Linked DNA regions of Caenorhabditis elegans. The protein of the gene in region 1 purifies or fractionates together with the protein of each later gene. This does not show direct contact. Each region holds a gene or a part of one and is shown on either strand. Other genes may lie near its edges.

What was found. The genes of interacting proteins can lie anywhere in the genome.
Region 2: the proteins of ztf-8 (region 1) and hus-1 purify together in Caenorhabditis elegans (affinity purification with mass spectrometry, with the first as the bait; one study listed by BioGRID). This does not show direct contact.
Region 3: the proteins of ztf-8 (region 1) and gei-17 purify together in Caenorhabditis elegans (affinity purification with mass spectrometry, with the first as the bait; one study listed by BioGRID). This does not show direct contact.

The regions. Positions count from the first base shown.
Region 1 is NC_003281.10:5,267,360-5,276,512, reverse strand, and holds ztf-8 (C2H2-type domain-containing protein), read left to right. Parts: upstream 1-3,041; 5' UTR 3,042-3,043; coding exon 3,044-3,123; intron 3,124-3,173; coding exon 3,174-3,273; intron 3,274-3,321; coding exon 3,322-3,608; intron 3,609-3,684; coding exon 3,685-3,992; intron 3,993-4,039; coding exon 4,040-4,122; intron 4,123-4,511; coding exon 4,512-4,712; intron 4,713-4,779; coding exon 4,780-4,923; intron 4,924-4,967; coding exon 4,968-5,042; intron 5,043-5,151; coding exon 5,152-5,468; intron 5,469-5,477; exon of another isoform or gene 5,478-5,501; coding exon of another isoform or gene 5,502-5,588; intron 5,589-5,639; coding exon of another isoform or gene 5,640-5,754; intron 5,755-5,797; coding exon of another isoform or gene 5,798-5,931; intron 5,932-6,078; coding exon of another isoform or gene 6,079-6,252; exon of another isoform or gene 6,253-6,274; intron 6,275-6,333; exon of another isoform or gene 6,334-6,387; intron 6,388-6,581; coding exon 6,582-6,746; intron 6,747-7,210; coding exon 7,211-7,514; 3' UTR 7,515-7,758; downstream 7,759-9,153. Other genes in the region: toc-1 (similar to Transporter Of divalent Cations), read right to left, coding at 1-194, 318-697, 779-924, 969-1,098, 1,171-1,224; Co-chaperone protein daf-41, read left to right, coding at 1,757-1,875, 2,010-2,359, 2,466-2,524; ZC395.4 (uncharacterized protein), read right to left, coding at 5,502-5,588, 5,640-5,754, 5,798-5,931, 6,079-6,252; ZC395.5 (Ovule protein), read right to left, coding at 8,018-8,163, 8,564-8,642.
Region 2 is NC_003279.8:3,696,581-3,700,899, forward strand, and holds hus-1 (Checkpoint protein), read left to right. Parts: upstream 1-1,521; 5' UTR 1,522-1,531; coding exon 1,532-1,583; intron 1,584-1,639; coding exon 1,640-1,702; intron 1,703-1,747; coding exon 1,748-2,100; intron 2,101-2,174; coding exon 2,175-2,252; intron 2,253-2,304; coding exon 2,305-2,506; intron 2,507-2,556; coding exon 2,557-2,642; 3' UTR 2,643-2,720; downstream 2,721-4,319. Other genes in the region: msh-2 (DNA mismatch repair proteins mutS family domain-containing protein), read right to left, coding at 1-412, 489-724, 772-955.
Region 3 is NC_003279.8:9,100,484-9,109,221, reverse strand, and holds gei-17 (E3 SUMO-protein ligase gei-17), read left to right. Parts: upstream 1-1,639; 5' UTR 1,640-1,682; coding exon 1,683-1,754; intron 1,755-1,879; coding exon 1,880-1,915; intron 1,916-1,997; coding exon 1,998-2,111; intron 2,112-2,190; coding exon 2,191-2,220; exon of another isoform or gene 2,221-2,234; intron 2,235-2,524; exon of another isoform or gene 2,525-2,622; intron 2,623-2,902; exon of another isoform or gene 2,903-3,115; intron 3,116-3,161; coding exon 3,162-3,527; intron 3,528-4,197; coding exon 4,198-4,323; intron 4,324-4,379; coding exon 4,380-4,474; intron 4,475-4,519; coding exon 4,520-4,616; intron 4,617-4,700; coding exon 4,701-5,173; intron 5,174-5,909; coding exon 5,910-6,223; intron 6,224-6,324; coding exon 6,325-6,581; intron 6,582-6,819; coding exon 6,820-6,957; intron 6,958-7,218; coding exon 7,219-7,384; intron 7,385-7,549; coding exon of another isoform or gene 7,550-7,692; exon of another isoform or gene 7,693-7,899; intron 7,900-7,988; coding exon 7,989-8,047; 3' UTR 8,048-8,376; downstream 8,377-8,738. Other genes in the region: nduf-7 (putative NADH dehydrogenase [ubiquinone] iron-sulfur protein 7, mitochondrial), read left to right, coding at 707-784. UniProt on the Caenorhabditis elegans protein: Functions as an E3-type smo-1 ligase. Mediates smo-1 conjugation to air-2 in vitro and is required for proper chromosome alignment.

The sequences.
Region 1 (9,153 bases):
GTCCACTCTTCAACTCAAGAACACCGTCTATGTGAGAAGCTTCAGAAATACACCGATCAATTTGATTAATCAAGTGCGGAGGAGTTGTTTGAAGTAGAATCATTCCAGTATATGTTGATAGTGGATACATCGTTGAGAACACAGCAACAGAGAGCAGCAGACAGCATACTGGATCAGCCCATGCGAAGTCGTGCCTAGAAATGAGAAATTTTATATAATTTTTTTAATTGTCTGATTTATTGAAGGTCATAGCCGTAAAACGGTAATTTATAGGCCAAAATTATGTTTCAAATGAGGTGTATGATAGCTAAACTCACTTGAAATGTTCACATAACAAGTTCAGTCCAGTAGTCGTCAAGGCTAACAATACCATTGAATTGATTCTTGGCAGAAGAAGACGCGAAAGGCCAGGAATAACCCAGCACACAGCATGGGACAAATCAGCTGCATGCTCTTGCAAACTTGAAGCCGTTGCTGATTGAAGAACATGTTGAAACGGTTGATTTTTAAGAGCGTATGCTGAGAGAAGCAGCGCCACTGAAGATGCAGCAGAACCAACAAAATATGGCCAGCCGCCGATTTCTTCTACTTCATGTTCGTGAGCCGCTGAAGCATCATGAGAACCATGGTGATCAGGGGATAACAAGTGCTCGAATGATTCCTTCGATAAAAAGATGGAAAATAGTTGAGCCAACACCTGAAGAAGGTTATTTTTAATCTCAAAAATACTGATTCCAATTGGAATACATTTTTAATATTTAGTGTTTCAAAAACTCACGGTAGTACTAAAGACTGCCAAAACCGGTACTCTGGCTAATCCGTAACTAAATTTATGCGTTGGTTTTTCGGTTATCGACATGGAATACAGAGACGCGAATTGGGAGCAAAACGAAAAAATCGTAATCCAAAGAGTTGACATTAGAACTGAACAAAAAACTATTATTTTTGCACTCAAATACAACAATTACCTATCGAGTGGCTCGTTGATACGCAATATGCCAAAATTCCAACACACGCCAGGCATATTAATGTGGAAATTAGTCCTCGTTTCCCTTGAGGATGGTGTAACGACCTTGATACCCATGAGAAGCTGACCATCTGAAAATAGAACACTGCATTTTTGTTTCTGAACAATTTTAGACGCATAAAACAATAAATTAACAACTATACGCTGTGGAAGTCAACACGATTCAAATTTTTCTTCAGAAAATCCATTGCTTCCATATTTCCATCAAAAAATGTTCATTGAACGATTTAAAATTAAGCTGAAATGAGCCAAAACCTCGTAAATGGAGACGTGTTCGTTCAAAGGCGCGCGCACTTTCACCACTGGGTCTCGCCGCGATTTGGGAACTCTCTCGAATTATTTGAATTTCTGCCGTTTTATCATCTTCATTATGCGTTTCCATGGCAATTTTCCTGAAGAACATTCGCGACTTTATATTTCTAATCCATTTACGTTTATATTCAATGCCATTCGCACTTAAAATATATCGATTTTGGCCAATAGTCCTTGTATTTAGGAGAAAAAGGTTGTAAGAGAAAAATCAATCGAAAAAAGAAATTAAGTGGACAATTCTTGCTTGTTATTGCCGTGATATGAAAACATTTTCATCTGATGGCTTTATTTTCGTCAATTTGCATAATCATGCTAATTTCAACTGTGCGCTTATTTATATGTCGTGCACCTTCCTTGAATTTTATTGATTATTGTTCGTATCCGTCTAGTTCTCTTTTCGAATTACAGGCAAAAACCATGGCTAAGCAACCAACAGTTCTCTGGGCCCAGCGTGAATCACTTGTCTATCTGACCATCGAGGTTGATGAGGCGAAAATCGAGGAACTGAAAGGAGAGGGAAACAAGCTTCACTTCCAGTACGTTTCGGATTAATATTTCGATTTCTATTTTAAATGTTTAAATACGATATGAAGCATATTTCTTGCTTCCTAAATATTCACAGAATGTTCATGATGGTACATAGAATGAGTCGTAATTCGTAAATTTTCAGAGGAAGCAGCAAAACTGACAAGTACGAAGCAACTCTCGAATTCTTCGACGAAATCGATCCTGCATCCGTAAAGCACACTGGATCTTCAACCCGCGTCGTTGAGATCACAGTTCAGAAGAAGACCCCAGCCTGGTGGCCAAGACTTCTTCAAAACAAGGGAAAGGTCCATTGGTTGAAGGTTGACTTTGGAAAATGGAAGGATGAAGACGAGGATGATGAGGCTGAGGATGCCGGAGCCGGAATTGGCGGTGGAATGGCGAACGGATTCGATTTGAACCAGTACATGTCCCAGATGGGAGGAGCTGGCGGAGCAGACTTCGGAGGTCTTGAGGATGATGAGGAAGATGACGGTAAGTATTAAGTGCAATAATATCCTTTTTGCTTACTATTAGTAATTCGTTAATGATAGAAAACCAATGTAGTATTAAAATGTTATTTATTATAAAAAATTTTCAGATATGCCAGATCTCGAAGACAACGAAGAGGAGGAAGGAAAGAACGGAACGAGAGCTTAAGCAACTCCTCAAGTCCCAATTGTTTCATTAAAAATACAATTTGAATTTCTCTAATTTAATTCTTTATTCATTTTTCTCTATCCCGATTATTCCTCTTCCAGTTTGTGAACGCTTCACGTATCTCAGTCACAGAGTTTCATTTATTGTTTCCACTTTAAATATTTATTGAGTAAAGTGATATCACACCCATCTTCTTGCAGTGAACTTGTGAATTCTGACGGCTTAATTTTTATCCCGCATTCGTTTTTCTAATCAGTTTCCATGGGCAAGAACACAATTGGTAAGGCTCTGGTAATACTTTTCTAAAGTTGTTACTTTTTTTAAAATGTGAGCATACAAGGTATTTAATTTTGTCTTCTTTGTGGATCCACATGGAGAAAAAACTCCTGAAGACATAAATTTTACTCATTCAAGCTGGATAATATCATTCAAATCATATCATTCAAGTTAATACGCTTTTTCCGATCAATCATCTGAATCACAGCCAGAGATTAAATTATGAAATCGTATTTTTAAGATATGAACCAATTAGTGTGTCCATTGTGCTGCGAAACGCTGAAAGAGGAAGGCGCACACTTCTACAAACATTTTAAGTACAAGTGAGGATTTTAAATGTTATTTCTATTATTAAATTCATATATAATTTTAGGAGATATGCATGCGGAGAGAGCACATGTGATATGGGATTCTACACACAACAGGAGCTCAATGCTCATTGCTCGAAACACGGACACAAGCGCTCTTTTCAGGTTTTGAGACGATTTTCTACAATTAAAAATATTGTTTTTTTTCTTCAGAAGACAGTAAACCCATACATTGACAAAATGATATCGGTTGTTGTGGAAGACGCATACGCCCTAGCGACTGACGATATGGAAACTGTGCTTGAGAAGCGATGGGGAAGAGATCCGAGATCAGTGTCACCGACTTCACCTGTTAAAAAGACTCCTACTGATAGTGCAAAGAATAAAAGAAGTTCCGTCGTAACTCCAACATCTCCTCCAGTGCCAAAAAAGGCAAAATCGGGAACTTCTACGACTTCACCATTTGCATTTTTAAATAGAAGAACAAATAATTCTGAGAGGTATTTATTCACTAAATACAATTTTAACAATGCCTAGATTCCGACAAAGCCCTCGTTTTAAAAATGATATATTCAGCTCACTCTGCCCCAACGCCTCCTCAACATCAGCTCAGCCAGCTTCATCAAGTTCAGCTCAAGCTATAGTTGATTCAACAACCAGTGAACATAATATATCTATTGATAAAACAAAGAAACCGAGGAAGAAAAGAAACGAGTCAATGACAGCAGCTCAAAATCAAGAGAAAGCTGGAAAAAATGCAAATTACGATGAAATGTCAGCGATTGATAAACTAATTGGATGGTTTGATCCAAATGTTCCAGAGAGACGAGATGCTGCAAAAGTGAAATGTGCGGTTTGTAATGAAGAAATAGTTTATGATTTTAGTGAGTTTTTGAAATCTCTAAATTCGAATTTAGTTTTTATCTTACAGTTCTCCGAAAAGGACACGTGACTCGTTCCCACATGGCAGCTGATGTAGCACCAGAAGATTATGATGATTTGCTGAAAACTGCGGTATGTACAGGAAAACAAATTAAATTGAGAACAAGGCTGTGCAGCAAATCTACAAAAACAAATTTAAAAAAGGAATATGATATTTCATTTTGAGGCAAATCTGAATTCGAGAAGGAAAAAAAAAGAATTATTCTTATTTTTTTCGAAACAAAAAACGAAAAATCTACAGCCCTGACGGTGACTTTCCTGCACTTTTTGAGATAATTTTCGAGTTTTTTTCTCAAAAATAAATATCATATTCAGATCGAATGAACATTTCCCCCACACTGTTATATTAATTTTTAATTTGAATTAATTGATTATCATACTGAAATTATAAGTTTTGACCCTGTATCTACATTTATCCTAACTAGGTTGCAGTTTTTAAATTAAGAAAAAATGAGTTTCAGATGGATCGATCGTATCCAGATCTCCCAAATTCGGATCTTGCTTGTCAACTTTGCATGACTGGTGCTGAAGTTCGAAAAAATATGCGCCGAGAGCATATCGAGAAGCTGCACACGACGAGTCTTCCACCGCTAACATGTCCAGTTGGAGAATGTGAAAAAGGATTCAGAAGACAGTGTGATTTGAGTTCTCATATGAAAGATGTATAGTTTTATTTATTTAATTTATAATAAAGCTAGGAAATTGACAAAAAAAATCAAAGAATTCCAGACACACAAAGCGAGCATGGCAGTGTACAAAAATGCAACATTTCAACAAGTTCGTCGCCGTCGAAATGCTATGATAAACGAGATGATCAATAAATGCTTTCCGTGGTCTCGATTAGAAGCAATTGAGAATAAGACTGTAGTTGGGGTTTGTTGAATTATTAAAGTTTTCTGGGTAATTATGAGATTCAGGAGAAGTCGGATTCTGTTAACCGCGCTCCTGTCGATCGCTCGTTTGACACAGATGTTCGAGTGAGAGACGTTAACGTAAGTTTTTAGAAAAATTATCTACGGGAGTCATCACGACCAAGAGTGACATCCAAATTTTTTTTTAATTGAAATTTAATTTTTCAATTCTTACAAAACACATTTTCAGAAAACTCGCCGTGCTCCTCAATACAATGCGAACCGATCTTCGTCGTCCGATTCTGATTCAGAACATGAAGAAGCAGCGTCGGTGGCTACGGGAGAAGTTTCCGAAACTGGTGGAACCGATGATTTCCCGCAAGACGTCATATACATATGTCATCAATTCAATACGGAAGTTGCTCAAAAACTGTCGCAGATCGTCAGAATAAAGCCAGAGATCATTGATGTGGAAGACGTGCTTATGAATGATGTTACAATGGAAATAAATGAGATTCCAGTTAAAGAAGAAACAGAGGAAGAGCAACCGAAAGAGGAAAATAACAGGTAAAAATTGCATAGATTAAGCTTTATTCGTTTTTAAGTAGTTTTCTCGCTGCTTCCTGCAATCTTCTTTTCATCAACAGACAATTGTTGCGTTATCTCAAGTTTTCGAGTTTCCGTAGCCTGGGAAAATAAGAAAATATTTAGATTAGTCTAAAAATAAATACTCCTCACCTCTTTAGAGTTGCCCTTCAGTATTGCTTTCTCGAATTTCGGAAAATCGTCATCCAGCGTCACATACTCGGGATCTTTGCTTTCCTTCATTCCGGTCACAGTGCGTTTCGCGTCACTGTAATGAGAATGATTGGGAAATTAGTTATTATTGTGCTTACAGTTTTCTTGGTGGAGCTACAGATGGTCCATGTGACATTTCTGAAGCTTTTTCGGCAATCTTCTTGAGTTGAGACACCGCCTCGTTGTGTTCATCCTTTGCATCACGATCACTTTGCCTTGGTCCCTTGCTCTTCTGAAAAAAGTCATTTTCCAATAATAAATGCCTGAAAACTCTTGAGAATTGGCGAAACTAACTGAATTTTTTTTTAAATTTACGGTTTCGCCGCCAAACACCACTTTTATCTGCGCCCTTCTAATAATATTTCCATCCCTCTCTTACCTCCTTGGACGGAACTTTTGCCATTTTGCTTGCTCCCTTCTCTCCCGATTGAGCTGTTGTCGAATGTGAAATTGACTTCATTTCGGGATTAACACTTCCACCAGTACCAGGAGTCGATAGATTCTTCTTCGCCGATTTCATTTTCTTCTTCTGCTTACACTTTGTGACACACATTTTTGAACTACTACACACGTGCCTGGAAGTGTGCGGAAATTGTTCTTCAACGGAAACGATAGACGAAAAAAATAAACTCACTATTACAGTTCGATTTATTGAAAAATGATAATCGAACAGATGAGTGAAATGATTAAAAATAAGAACTGATGAAATTGAACCTTTTTGAATATTTCGTTTTGATGTTTTTTTCTTACGTAAATAGTTTAGATTAATATTTTTCTCCCGTAAGGTTACATATTAATTCCTTTTGAAAGTTTTTTGAAATTTTTTGAAAATTGCCCGTTTTTGGAAAGATTCAGTACTCCATATTATTTTATTATTTTCAGTACTCTACCATCAATTCCAATTCCATCAATCTTCTCACCATATGAGCCAATTGTTCCACCACCAGCTACATCTCCAGATCCAATGAATCCGCCAATTGCATCACTGCTTCCAACTCGAATTCTCAGTGCGACAAACGTTTTGGAGAATAAATATAATGAAAATGTGTGAGTTTTTACGAAATATCTGAAAATTAAAAAAAAACAACTTTTGATGTTTCCTATCAATTTTGCAAAATTAAAAAAAGATGGGCTAATTATTTTCAAATTCTCGCGTTAATGAATTGCCTAGTTTAACGTTTTCAGCTCGTTTTCCGCGAAAAAATTATTTATAACGGTGAAACTGTTTTTAAGTCAGTTTTGAAGTTTTAGTGAATTTATTTTGGCCTAAAAATTGAAAAACTCATCTTCATATTAAATATTTTTTATACTGAAAAACATTTGTTCAGCCAGGGAATTTAAAAATAATTAGCCCATCTTTAATTTAATTTAATTTTCATTTATATTTATTACGATAGTAAGATATGGAAAAAAAATCATTAAAAAATTATAAACGTTTTAATTTTTAAGCAGTTAAATTCAAAATCAGATCAGTTTTAACCATCATTACAATATATAATTTCTAATTTCAGTAGCTCAAGAAGATCGACATCACGTGAACGTTCTTCCAACAGAAACTACGATGAAAGATGGTCTCGAAATGACTACAGTAACCCTCGTAACTACAGCAATCGTTCATTCCATCAACGAAACCAACGGGGACATTCATCATCGAATCGTTTCAATTCTCCATTTGTTAGTCGAAATAACTACAACAACAATTCTGAAACAACTGAAGGATCTTCTCGTCGTTCCGAATATAATTCTTCGTCTTCCAATCATCATTCCCGTTCGTCATATCGTGGCAATCGAGATGATCGAGGCTCTCGATGGTAAAGCCGCCATCAATATTATATATGCATTTTCCTTCTAAAACCGTTCAATCTTCAAATATTTCCCTTAACCTTCCAGTATTCCAAATCAGCTTGTGCGAAATTTTAAGAAAATTTCTCGAAAAATCTAAATCTCCTTCGCTTTCAAACATCAAATTTAGTTTCTGTGTGTTAGTATATCCTAGCGTTTCATATCTAAGATAACAATTCTCAATTATCTCTTTTTAGTTAGCAATAAAATAATGCCATTGTTGTTTGACTTTAATTGTTGAATCTCTCGTTCTGTTTAAACGAATATTCCATGTGTGTTGTGTTTTATAATATTTTATTGCTTCTATCGTTCTCCAAAGTCTCGATTCAAAAATCCATGTTTCTAAATACGGAAGTGAAACTAAAACTGTTAAATCTAAAATTTTCGAATCAATATAAGTACATTTATTTACAGAAACAAAAAATTACAATTTCAACATATAAAATTACAAAAATCAACAAGAAAACGATATAATTTTAATACATTTCTTTTTCAAATGGATCATCAATCTTGACACTAAAATCCATTGATCGGTTCAAAAAATCGCGGAATTGTTCGATTAAACTGTCACGGCGACGACTTCCGATAGATTCCATGTGACAATCCATTGATGTATCAGATGCTGAAAATTTTTATAATATCAATAACTTTAGAGGGGAAAATTACCTGAAATATATTACCGAGACGCAAAACCTTACGATTTTTACACCAAACTAAGGCGTCCGGTCTCGAAACGACAAACATTTGTTCAATTCGAAAAGGTGTGCGACTTTAAAGAGTATTGTAGTTAGAAACTTGTGTTTCTGCGGAATTTTCATTGATTTTTCTATTTTGTTGAAATTTAATTGTAAAACATATTTTCTTTTGTTGACAATCTACAGTACTCTTCAAAGGTACACACCATTCACAAACATTTGTCGTATCGAGACCGGGCACTGTATTTTTGACAAAAATCTGGGTAAATTCTCAGGGTTAATACAGCAATTAATCAACATATAGTTTTCATTTAAAAAAGAACAAACCATCACTGAAACGTCGCTCCCTTTCATCGTCACCACCAATCTTCTTCAAATCCATAAAATCTTTGGTCGATTTGTCCATTCTTCTAGTTCTTCTCAACAATCAAATGAATTATCAATCAAATTGTTCGTCTTTTCCTTTTTATATTATTCTTTTTTTAGCGGGTACCTAACCATCTAAACAATCAAAAATGGGTGGAGAAGGTCGATTGACACACGTGATTATATCTTCTACATGCTTTTTCTTATCTATTTGATATTAATAAGGTAACATTTATGGTAAACACTTACGAATGCAACACAGTGTATCGCATTTCTGCTCGTGGAGCAATAACATGGAATAGGTTTTTCTTGAATATTCTAATACAGGTGCTATTTTGAAAATGTGTATAAAAGCCAATATTTTAACTAACATGTTCCGTCATGTGAAGTGGTAATCGGCAGTCCCCCTAGTGAACAATTTTCAGACGGAATAATATCGATCCAAAAGACATCGCCACATGTTCTCCTCTCCTCTTCCGGTAACTAGTCACTGAGACAATCTATAAATCTGTAAATGTACACTGTCTATCATGTACCATTTAGTGTACTGG
Region 2 (4,319 bases), on another chromosome or scaffold:
CAGCACATGAATCAATCAGCATATTTCCATGAGTTCCGTAATTGAAAATACTATACTTCTCAGAAATACTGTATTCATCGGCTGCGTTCGAGTGTAGAATTTGAAGGCATTCCTTGATGTTTTCGTTTTGTTTTTCGGCTTCATCTTTATAATCCAGATGAACCGACTCGATTACATCGCTCCATTGTGACTTTGGCTTCAGCTGTTGCTTGTTGTGAACCTCCATTCTCGTGAACATGCTTGCTATTTTCTTAGCCTTCGGTGCAACTGATCCTTCATTCACTAGAATATATTCTGTGGGGCATAGTCCAAAAATGCATTGTTCCGTTTGAGAAAAAGAAGGAGTATCGATGTATTCACTGATCACAATGCGAACATTTCCAGCATCCCAAGCGCACAATGTTACTCGATTCTGAAATTGGGAATTAATTTAAAAATCTAAAAATCTATAAATCTCTAAATCTAAAAATCTATAAAAATCGTCATACATCATCATCTCCTGGATGAATATAGATTGCAAGAATCGGAGCCTGATCTGACACTCCAATTTCTTGCTCAAAATCCACAGTATTTCCTGGAGATCCACGCTTCGTCATTTTCCACTCTCCCTGTTCACTCGAGTATAGCTCAACGGAGCATCTGAGCAGTACGATGGTTTCACGAACGACCTTCTCGTATTGTCCACGATTTACGGAAATGTACTTCATTTGTTGAGAATTGTCGGCTGAAATTTCACATTTACAGATTTTATTTTGATTTTTCGAGTCTTACTTGATAAAGTGAACGTTTTGACGCAAACATCACTCTTGAAAATGTTAGTAGCGACAAAGGTGGCGTCATCGCCATACACAGAAAAGTATTCGCCTCGTGAGAAAATGGCAATTGTGTTCGGTGATTTAGATTTTAGGATTTTTAGGAGCGCTTTGTCGCTGGCTTCGTCTTTTCCTCCACTCATTTTCGATTTTTTCGCTGAAAAATTCGAATTTTTGTGATAATATAGAGTAAAAGTGAAGAAAAAAGAGTTCATCAACGAAAAATGATTCGACAGAAAGGCCGCTTACTTTTGAAAAGAAATTAAAGGTGCATACAGTATTTCTGTAAAATGGTCCTGCAGGGAAATAGTGTCTCATTGTTTTGGGATTTTTAGCATTTCTAAATTGAATTTAAATGATTAAAAATTAAACAAAGAATATAATCAAATTATTTAAAAGTTCTGTAATAATTTAGATTTTAATAAAAAGAAGGCGAAAATCACATGTTATGCTTACTGTTAAAGATTAAAGGCACATACAATAATACGGTGAATTGGTTTCGCAGGGAAAGAGATACGGTGGTTTTTATTTTTAAACTAATTTTTGTTTCATTTTTCCTTGCAATTTTAACTCTAAACATAATTATTTTAAAAAATTTCGAAAAATATCAAAAGTAAAGTCTTTTTTCAAATTTCTTCCATCGCGCGCGATTTTCCCTTTTTCATTCTCCGTCTCCTTCTCTTTCTAACTAATTTTCACTATTTTCTAGGTTTCAAACAATGAAGTTCAGTTCTCTTCTCCAAGATACTGCGGCAATCGACGTGTTTATCAGTGAGCAGACTGATTATTAAAAAATCTATGAAATATCTGAAAAAATTGTCTTTCAGAAATTTTGACATCAGTGAGCAAATTGAGTAAGAAAAGATGCTGCGTCAAAATAGAAAAGAATGGTTTTAAAAATCCTGTTTTATTAATAAAATTCTATGAACTTTCAGCTCTCAACTTTATTTGCTGTTCAGGACTCCATGATGGTGGAAGTTGGTTCAGTTTATCAATTCCCTATAGCAGTCAAATTTTCCGAAAATTCGATATGGTTGGCATGAATCCACGAAACGAAGAGCAAAATTTGATTTATTTTGAATTGGAAATCGATAGTTTAGTACGTGTTCTGCCCGGCGGACACTGTTATCTGAAACTGAAACTATCGAAAAGTCAAAAAGATGAGCCAATGTTGTCTGTCGAAGTTAGAAATCCAGAAGCCGATATTGTTTCTCATCAAATTCCAATCACAATTATTCTATCAAAATATTGGAATTCGTACTCCAGGCCGTCAATTGGACACAGAAAAGTAAACGATTTTATGATGATAATTATAACTTTACATTAATTTTTTTAATCTCTATTGAAAAAATATATTTACAGATGTCAATCAGCATGCCACCTCCTAAAATGATGTCCCGTTTCTTACACGTCTTCAAAAATATGAACACTCGAGTTGTGGTAATAATATATACACAAATAAAGTCCTGAAATATAAGTTAATTTCATCCAGAAGCTCACAGCCAGTACATCAGGAGATTTGAGGATTTCTACGAAAATTGAAACTGGCGAGATTGATGTAAGCTTCTCGGATCTTCAAACTAATCCATCGGAAACCGATAGTCAAGAGGATACTGCAAAAGTTCAATTAATGATTCGAAATATTTCTCCATTGTTTCAAAGTTTCGCCAACACTCGGACACGTGCCAAAATGAGTAGGATCGGAAATATTTTGATAATTTTTAACAAAAAAAAAATTTTCCAGATATCATCTCAAATCGAATGGCAGAATTCAATTTTCACAATGAGGATTGCGTTCTTTCGTATATTGTTGGAAATGTTTCGGATTAGAAATAATGTTTTTTGTCGTTGTTTGAATGCCTAATTTTCTAGATCTCATAAATTCTGCAAATAAATTTTTTATTTCTTAAAATATATATCCATTTATCAACTGGCTTATTGGCTTTGATTTTCAAAGCATCTTAATTTAAATTAAGTTTAAAATCAGAATATCAAGTTTTTCAAGCGAATTTTTAAACATTTATTTTTTGATAAACTGTATAAAATTCCAAAAAAAAGATAAGCTTGAAAAAACTTTTATTTTGATAGCCGAAGTTCAAGAGGAAGTTGAAAAATAAATTTTTTTTCTAAAATTGCTGGAACTCAGGCAACTCAAATCTAATATGAAAATATTAAATAGCAATATTTTTGTAGTTGGGTGATATTTCAAGATAAAATCGCAATATTCCGAGACTTATTCGAAATCTTTTTAGATTGAGCAATATTTTGAGGTTGATTCGCAATATTTCTGAATCTGAAAATATTACGAAAAATTCGTAATATTTTGAGATGACATAGCAATCTTTTGAGATTGGTTCGCAATCTTTCTGAAATCTAAAAATATTACAAAAAAATGTGTAATATTCTAAGATTAATTTGCAATCTTTTTGCAGTCCATAAAGATTACAAAACATCATTTCCAAATTCCCATCGGCTTCACATGATCGTGATATATATACAACAATTATGATTACTGTTCCGTTCTAAATTCTCTTTTCTTCCAAATGATGAAAGACTTTTCAAAGTAAAAAACAGCTACATGAAAATCTATATAATGGAGTATCTCACTGTTAACGGATATTTGATTTTTCGTTGCATATTGTAGAAGGAGTTTTTGCAGAGAAAGCCACAGAATTCACAAATCTGTCCACTCATGTAATTTTTTCTAGATAATTGGCCGGTCATATTATAAATTCAGTCAAACAATCACGAAGATTGGTCGAATATATTAAAGTAGACTTACAACTATTCATTCACGCGTGATGCGTTTGAGATTTTCTGATTTCAATTGAAATCATAAAATATTGTCAACAGCAAGCATGTTCCCAGTATACTCATCATTTTAATCAAATTGTTAGCGAAATAAAATATTGAAAAAATAAAATGTTATTCTCTCTTTGACAAAAATTCGGAAAAATTGCAATTCTAACATTTTTAAAAGCATAACAAATAAATCGTTTTTCCACATTCGCTTTCAAAGAAAGTTATCCAATTTCGCTCTGACACTTAGAAAATTTGCGAAAAGTCACTGATTTCCCATCAAAAGTAACGAAAAGGACGTGCGCCCATCAACTATTTACTTAAGCAATAACTAAATCTAGATGCGACACGTACAGGATGGCTCAACAGGTAAGATAATGGTTCATAGACTCAACGACAAGCGACGGACAAGTTCAACTCCCCTCAATGCACAGGTGATTCGCCACGGACGCATAATGCCTCAAGACCCATTATGCGCGTGTTTGCGAACGAGGACCTCACATTATGTGCGTTTTTGCGAAGCGTTCGCAGAAACGAGCATAATGCCTCGCCGATGGGCACAATGCGAACGCTCGCAATGTGCGCATTTTGTTTGGCCGTTATTCCCATCATTAAAGTGCTCATTTCAGTTAGTTTAAAGCTATTTTTGTTTGAGTTCTCTGTTTATTGACTGTTTTTTTGCTGATACTAAAGTTTCTGAAAAACAAA
Region 3 (8,738 bases), on another chromosome or scaffold:
GGTCCACCTGTTACACAAAAAACGCACTCAAAATCTGACTGCTCAATTAAGGATAATGAGTGTCCAGATCTCGTGCAGGCTCATTTTCCATTAATTGAGTAACAATTTGTTTCAGTTAATGTCTGAAAATATTCCAAGAAAAGCGTGTTGCTATGTTCAAAAATGAATTTTAATAATTCTATGACGTCATAATATGTACCTCACTATAATCTCGACACCCCATCATTATCAAAACTGTTTTTTTCGGGTTTTTCCGAAAAAGATTTTTGAAAAAAATTTCCCAATTTAAGAATGGTGGGCTAAGGACGGCATGATGTAATCGCGCTCCACGACCGATTGTAAATATTTCGAAAATACGTGGGTGCATGTGTACTCAATTATTGATCGAATTGGCGCGAAAGTCTTGTGTTGTCTACGCTCTCTTGCATACCATTGAGTCTTTATTTCTCTATTTCTGCTTAGTTTCTCAAGCATTCACTAATGAATATTTTGCCGTATCTAATGCAACAACAACTTGGTGTTTTGTTTAAATCTTTAGCTCTTCGAAATACTTTATCACATTCTGACTGTATCAGCGAATTTCTAATACATTTTAAATTAGTGAAATTATCTGAATAGCTTTAAAAATATTCCTAGCCTGCAGTCTTTTCTGAAAATATGTTTCGTCTAATAAAGAAAATAATTTTAATATAAAAAATTATTCCAGGCTCTTCTATACGGAGTTCTCCAACTTCAAAAGAAGATCAAGCGTAAGCGAGAAGCTCAACTTTGGTACAGACGCTAAACAGAACACGAGGCGAAAAGAAAGTACGAGAAAGTTGGAGAACTGTGAAAAAATTCGCAGAAAAATGGTCATTTTGTACGAGTAAGCCCCACTTCATTCATTTTTTGTGTTTCTCCACCTTTTCTCCATTTTCTTTTTTCTAGATCTGATATCGATAGTTTCGTTCGTTTTTTTCTGCGGTTTACTTTTTTTTTCGAATAGTGTCTATTTTTACCTCATGTTTTTTTTGGTTGAAAAAAAGTCGATAACATTTTTTTAAAGTTCTATTTTTTTCTCTCATTTTCTTTGGAACGGTTAACAACGCCGACCCTTTGTGGTTCTCTTTTTATTTATTTATTCATATTTTCACAAAGTCTGTGAATTTTTATATAGTGATTTGAAAGGAGATCACGACGCACTTTATAGCGCCGCCAAGTTTTTTTTTTTGGATTTGGTTTTTGGATTGAAAATAATACAAAAAAAGTCTGTGTGGATTGAAAATTGTATTGCGCAAATTCAAAAACACAAATTTTCTGGCGCCTCTTCTGAAAATTGCTGATCCTTTGTCACGGGCACAAACCTATCGTACACATTGATCTCATTGATTTCCTGAATGAGTTAACGTGAGTACGTTGAAATATTTTTTGCAGGATTTTGCAAAACTGATTCATCAGGTGTGCCCGTGTTTTTTGCGCGATTTTGGTCCATTAACTTCCAAAATTGGGAAATCCACACGGAACCGCGCTTTTCGAAACGCTTTTTAGGGAATAGAAAAGATCACATTTTTCTACTTTTTGTTTGTGATATTTTCACTACTGGACCATTCAAATTCGCCTTAATATCCCTTTTCCGAATCTGCAGTTTTATATTTTTCCGTCGTTTCGAGACACAGCGGAGGATCGGAGGTATTGAAATCAATATGTTACCGAATAATCAATGGCAAATACCTATAAACAATGGATTAACACATCAGGAAAATATGGCAGCACACGTGAGTTATTGGAAAATTATTGACATTTATTAAATAGTTTAAAATTCTTGTATTTTACCCAAGGATTTTTCTGTTCCAATCTGTTATTTTTCAAAAAGTAAAACTGATGGATTCCAAATTTTCAGGCAGCCGTCATGAAATTGAGAGTACACGATCTTCAGGTTAGATACCGTTTTTAATCAATCTTTATTGTTCAATACCTCAACGAGAAGGCGATGTGAATCAAGAATTTATGAATTTCAGTCGATTATCTCGCAATTGTCACTTCGAAAGCCACGTCCACAAAAATCGGAGCATCAGAAGGTCGTCGTTGAATCCTTGCGTGATCCTCATCATGCTCGGCAAATTTATCAAATGGTCATTTGTTTTTCTCGTTATTTTATTTATGTTTTTTTTTAAATGATGTTTTACAGCATTAATTTTCTCGAGTTTACAGGCTTCCAATTTCCCGAACGGAAATTATGAGGTAAGTATGAAAAAGTTAAATACTTTCAGTTAAAAAAAAACTATGTCAACTTTGATTAAATAGATGTGTGAGGTACTTTGGGTAACGTTTACCAGTGTTCTACCTCGGAGGAAATTATTCATTCACCTAGTATTGTCTCTTTACTCACACAATAAGTCTCGCATTTATCTCCACTAGCATCCTCATACCCACCATATATGTAGCCCTTTGTTTCTCTAAGTTTCCTCAAATATTTCATCCATTCTGCACTTGCTTCCTCGCAGCTCCGGCAACGGGACTTTCGCCCGTAATAAGGTGTTAAAAACCTCAAAAGCAGTGGATCTTCGAAAATTTCTTAGTTGTACTTTGCCCTGACCTTCTTTCCATGTTTCATACGTGTAGCTTGGCGCGTAGTTTTTCATTACAATTTTTATTTTACTAGATTGATTCTTTTGAATACTGTCACACTTTTTTGAAAATCAAATTCAAATTTTCACTCCTAAAGAGGTATTTGAGTTTTTTAATAATTGTTTCACTTTGAAAAATCGATATGGAAGCGAATTGGCACGATGTCGCTCGTGAGAAACTGGGAATCGTTTTTTTTTTTGTTGTTATTTCACAACAGTTGATTCGAATGCGCGTAACTATTTAAATCAATCGAATTTTTAGTTGGCTTATTATTGAAATTTTACTAAATTTTAAGAAAGTCCTGTTATCAAAACTCCAAAAAAACGGCTAGGTTTATCAATATATATCATTTCTTCGCAAGCACCTCTCCTGATGACATGTGCGCTCTATTGAGAAACAAACGTTCAAAAAATCTCTTCCGCTTTGTTTTTTATTCCCAAATGTATTTTTGCAAATGTTCTAATTGTCTAAAATATTCCACATATTTAAAGTTAGAGCCTAAAAAATTGTTTGTAAATCGTTTCTGTTTTAATAACTAAATTAAAAAATGTCAGATGCAGAAGCGACCTGCAACAACATCCCAAGTTCGGTCTCATCCATATGTGCTGCCATCTCGATCTGGAGCTAGTAATCACTTGGTCAATCATCATTATCAGCAGCAACAACAACAACAACCACAGCCTCACAATCTACTTCATCAACAAATGATGGCGTCACATCATTCACATCTGCAACAGCAGCACCATCCGTCGACGGTGAGATGGCTAACTCCTGAACTGCTCGAAGAGCAACTGAGGGGCTCGATGAGATACGGCGCTCCCGCTGCTGCTGCTGCTACCAACGCGCCGCTCCATTCATCTTTTCCTAATCATGGACGTTCTTCTCAGCAAAGTTTGCAGAAGTCGGAAAAATCAAATAGGGTGAACATTTTCGCCGCATTTTTATTGCCTGAAATTCACGATAAGAATGAACGCAAGAATATCGAGGCGGAAAGCATGTGAAGATATACTTTCGGTTTATGACCGTAACGGAAAATTTACCTGAAAAAATTACACTGGTAGCTTCTTCTGGGCACATATATCATATTGGCCAGTCGCGGTTATTTGAAAATTCCTCAATCGTGATACATTATGCAAACAAATGTCCTACCGTTTATTGAATGCACTTTTTTGAATTGCGTGTAGCATTCAAAAAAAAGAAAGAAAAATTCGAAGCTCCAAGATTTGCACGCTGTTATCACGAAATTTTCTGCATGATTCCGAATGGCGTAAAAACTAGAACAAGTGTGGTTTTAAGATATTACAGTATGGCATTCTTAGGAGCATGTTCATGAAGAAAAGCTTAATATGATAATCCTCTCTAGGCATTTCTTCATATTGCCGTGCTCAATTTTCAAATAGTTTTATTTCCAATTAGTTCGTAGTAGCATGTAAAAGTGTTTTTTTACTACCAAAAAGCAGGCATCATTAGAAATTGCGCGGCATGTGTTATACAGTTCGCTCACACGAGTTCAATGTTATCACCTGAAAATTGCTTTCAGCGTCTCTTTCTTACATTCCCACATGTCTAACCCATGTATTTTTTTTTCAGCCGAAAAAAATGTATGCTGATAATTTTGAACCGCTTCCACTTCCATTCTACGATGTTATTTCTGTTTTGCTGAAGCCTGTCGAGCTGCATTCATCAGACAGTCCAACTTTGAAGCAAACAAAACAGGTTGGTCTCAATTTACTCGCTCTCCAAGCCGGTTACCTATTAATTACTAATTTCAGTTACAATTCCCGTTCTTATTGACTGCTGAGCACATCTCCAAGATTTCGTATCGAGCTGATGTTACACCTCTTCCACGATATGAATTGCAGTTGAGGTACGTTTTATTATCATTGAAATCGGTTTAAATCCTTGTTTTCAGGTTCTTCAATCTTACTGAACCAGTTCAGGGTCCTCAAAAAGACGACTTTCCACTCAATTGCTACGCACGTGTTGATGATTCTGTCGTTCAATTGCCGGTATGAGATTTGAAACGTTCACGAAATATATTTAATTTCAAAATATCAATTATTGTTAGGAGTTACTATTTCTTCAAATTTCAGAATGTAATCCCAACAAATAAGACAAATGCTGAGCCGAAACGACCATCTCGTCCAGTGAATATCACTTCAAACATGAATAGATACAAGAAAGAGCACACAGTTGCAGTCGAATGGTTAGCCGACAAACGTGTATGGGCAGCTGGAGTTTATTTCGTTCATCGTGTTAACTCGGATATTCTCTTTAAACGTCTTAATCAGAATGTATCAAGACATCGATCACTTGAGGTTACCAAGCAAGAAGTGATCAAGAAACTGTCTGGAGGTGAAGATGATATTGCTATGGATCGTCTTAATATCAGTCTTCTTGATCCACTGTGCAAGACAAGAATGACAACGCCTTCTAGATGCCAAGATTGTACCCATTTGCAATGTTTTGATCTCCTCTCATATTTGATGATGAACGAGAAGAAACCAACGTGGCAGTGCCCTGTTTGCTCGAGTAACTGCCCATATGATAGACTTATTGTTGATGAGTAAGTTTTCAATTCACACTGACTAACTTTGATTTTAAAAAAAAGCGAATTATCTCAATTCTATGTTTTCATTATTTTTCTATTAACTCTTAGATACCGTTCCCTCACTTCGAAATTTCCAATTCTTGTGAAGACACTATTATTTTTCCAAACACAATTGTTATCTATAGCGATGGACAACACCCTTAAAATAGCCATGATGAAACGGTGATTAGGAAATTCGGAAACGCGTCGTCTAAAATAGGCATGTATTTGCAAATATAGTCTACGATTATTATCAGTAGTTCGTATTGGTCTCCAACTCAAAATTCAGCTCATGACGTAAGAGAACATGAAACAAATGGCAAAGGTCAATCATCATAATTGAGCAAGAGTTTTAATGTGTAATTGAAAATTATTATTATTCAGAAATTCAAAATCCCTGTAAATAATTCTCAATCAATTAATAATCCAAATAGTGTTCTCACTCTTATGTTTACCATGATCCAGATTCATATTGTGAACAGTGCATCATGGACAAACAACAAATTCGATGGCTAACTTCATGCAGTTTTGTGTGAAGCTGTCTGTTCGCACTATTCGCTCGTTTTCTTAATTGGAAAATACTTTTTAGTCACGGAAATGCCTGAGAAACTGCTTAGACGTTACCCAATTCAACATTTTATTTAAGAAATATTCAAATATCAAAATAAAAAGCAATGTTCTGAGACTATGCAAATATTGTTTCATCTTTCAGTTATTTCCTCGATATGCTTGCAAAGGTGGATAAGAATACGACGGAAGTTGAACTTAAGGAAGATGGCTCGTACGATGTTATCAAGGAAGAAGCTTTTTGCATCTCAGATGATGACGACGATGACGTTGTACCTGCTACTGTTAACGGTACAGCGTCATGCTCTTCGACAAATGGCAATGGACTTGCAAATGAAGCAGCGAAGAAAAAACCAGCTGACGACGACATAATTACCTTGAGTGATGACGATGATGAGGAATTGAACAGAGGTATAATGAACTCTCTGAACGACAGCTTCTCTCCTGGCAGACACACAGGTTTGCTATTCAAATGGCGTGGTGTGAGACAAGCTGAGAATATTGCAGTTTCTAGCAATATCAATTAAAAGTATTCACTTGAAATTCAAATCTTATTTCAGCTTCCGCAGAATTGGCTGCTCAAAAGACACCACCACAGCAGAAAAAGAAGACGAAAGACGATGACATAGAGATTATTACTCTCGATGATACACCACCTCGTCCAGTAGCTGCAAGTGCAAATCTTCCAATGCGTCAGATGTCTCAACAGAATCAAATGCCAGTTGGCTCATCTCCATCTGGAATGGCCTCAACGCAAATGGGAATGAACGAGGGTGCAAGTAAAACTATCCGGGATGCGCTGAACAAAATAGGAGAAGTAAGTTCAGAAAAACACAAATCTTCAAAAGAGCCAATATTGTTAGTTATTTTCCATAGTTTTAAGAGGATTTGTTCTTAATTTGACTGAAATCAGTATTCTAGTTATAACTTATCCGTTTTTAACCAAAACTAATACAAAGATTGAATTATATATTTGATTATATTATTATATGATATTGTTAAACTAACATCTGCTTCTCCCTGTCCACACTCACTAAACTGTCTGTTTGTTGCAGCAGTCAGCAAATTCATCAACACAATCATCTCCGCTTGTTCAACTTCACCATACGACACATCCATTGAATTTTGCTCAATCATCTTATATGAATCCCTCTTCAGGATCTCAAACACCTACATCACAATACGGATATTCGGTATGCCAGCACGTGTTAATAGTCTACCACACGCACTAATACTCTAGTGATATTTTTTCATAACGACAGAACAAAAAAATCCTGTTTTAATCTCTTTTTTTTCTTTGTTCAAGCCCCTATTAATTGGATAAGATACTTAGATGATTGTCCACTGCACTAGAATTCTGTCGAATTGAAAAAAATGCACTAGTTTTACGTCTGGAATTATAAACTTAACAAATATTTTTCAAAATTTTTTAAAAATTGAACTCTCGTTTTCAGCCAATGATAAACCAGGCACCACACTTCCAAATGCAAAACGGGCTCATAGGGCGAAACAATCAAATGGTTCATATGCAGCAGCACCATCTTCAGCAGCAACAACAGCAGCAGCAGTCACCACAAATCATGTCTCCGTCTTTTTATGCTCAACAGCAAATGTCAAACGGTAATTTTTTGTACACCTTACAAAGTTTTTGTATATTATGTTTAAACATCAAAACAATCACTTCACGATCTTCAGTTAATAGCGAGTAAACTTGTTGTGTAATTGCAACCATCCTGCATGCAAATATATATTTATTTCCCTTACTTGGTTTGGCCTCACTTTCAGGTGACACCAATAACATCCAACCACCACGAATTCTTTCCATGGCTGAAATACAAGCAAATGCATCTCGACTTTTGGTAAATGGACACCTGATGATCGATCACTCAGGAGTCACTATGCGCAATCCACGTGGCTCACGGAATTAATGCATGAATTGTATTTTTTGTGCCGTCTAGTTCATTTGATTTATGTGCATCTTTTACCCATATCCACGATTTACAATTTTTAACAGAATCCTGCTTGTGCTTTAGTCTAGTAAGTTATATTTGTCTGCATTATACGGCTGATTCGATGAACTTTAACTAGAATTTTGTGACGGTAATGTTTTTGTTAAATGAAGCTGAGTATCCTGTATGCAATCTTTTAAATACAATTGAAAAACACAATCCACTAATTTTAGATTTTTATTTAAAAATTAGATTTTCAATATTCAAAGTTTCAGGTGGTGCATTTGCATATTATCCTCCACAATACCCGCAGCAGCAGTATCGTCAGAATTGATTGATTTCCAATCATACTGCTTAATCTCATTCTTTTGTTTTTTTTTTGAGTTAATTTGGCTTTAATTTAATGTTCGGAACTTCAACCGACCCAATCAAATATCTCACATTTCTCTCCGTGATTTTTGTTCAATATGTTTTAATTTTCAAATCGAGCCCCCAAATCGTGTTTCTAGTTTTCCATCCATTTCATCCGATGTTTTTCCACAGCCGTGAAAATGCACAAGTGGCCTAGAAATTGTAAGAATCTAGGCCATGCGGCTTTCCTGATACCATATTTTTTTCCATTTAAATGGATGCATTTGTTCTCCAATGAATCGATTTATTTATACATATTTGTTTTAAAGAACAAATAATCAATTATAATAATTAGACCGGGGTGGCGAAATGGGAACATTTTTGAGAGAAAAAACTACCGAATCAGTGAGAAGACTAGGGGGAAAAATACAGGGAGAAATCACAAGAGAGAGAGACAAAAATGAAAGAATGAAAAATAAAATAAATATAGGAAAAATAAAAACAAATAAAAAATGAGAGAAGAATACCCGCATTTTATGTTTTTTTCTTCAGAACATGAAAATATCAAAATTTTTTGGATTTTTGTCTTTATGCATACGGGCTCCATCGAAAATTAACAATTGAGCACGTTTGCAGAGATAAATTTAAAAAAAAAGAAGAGGAGCAATACGTGG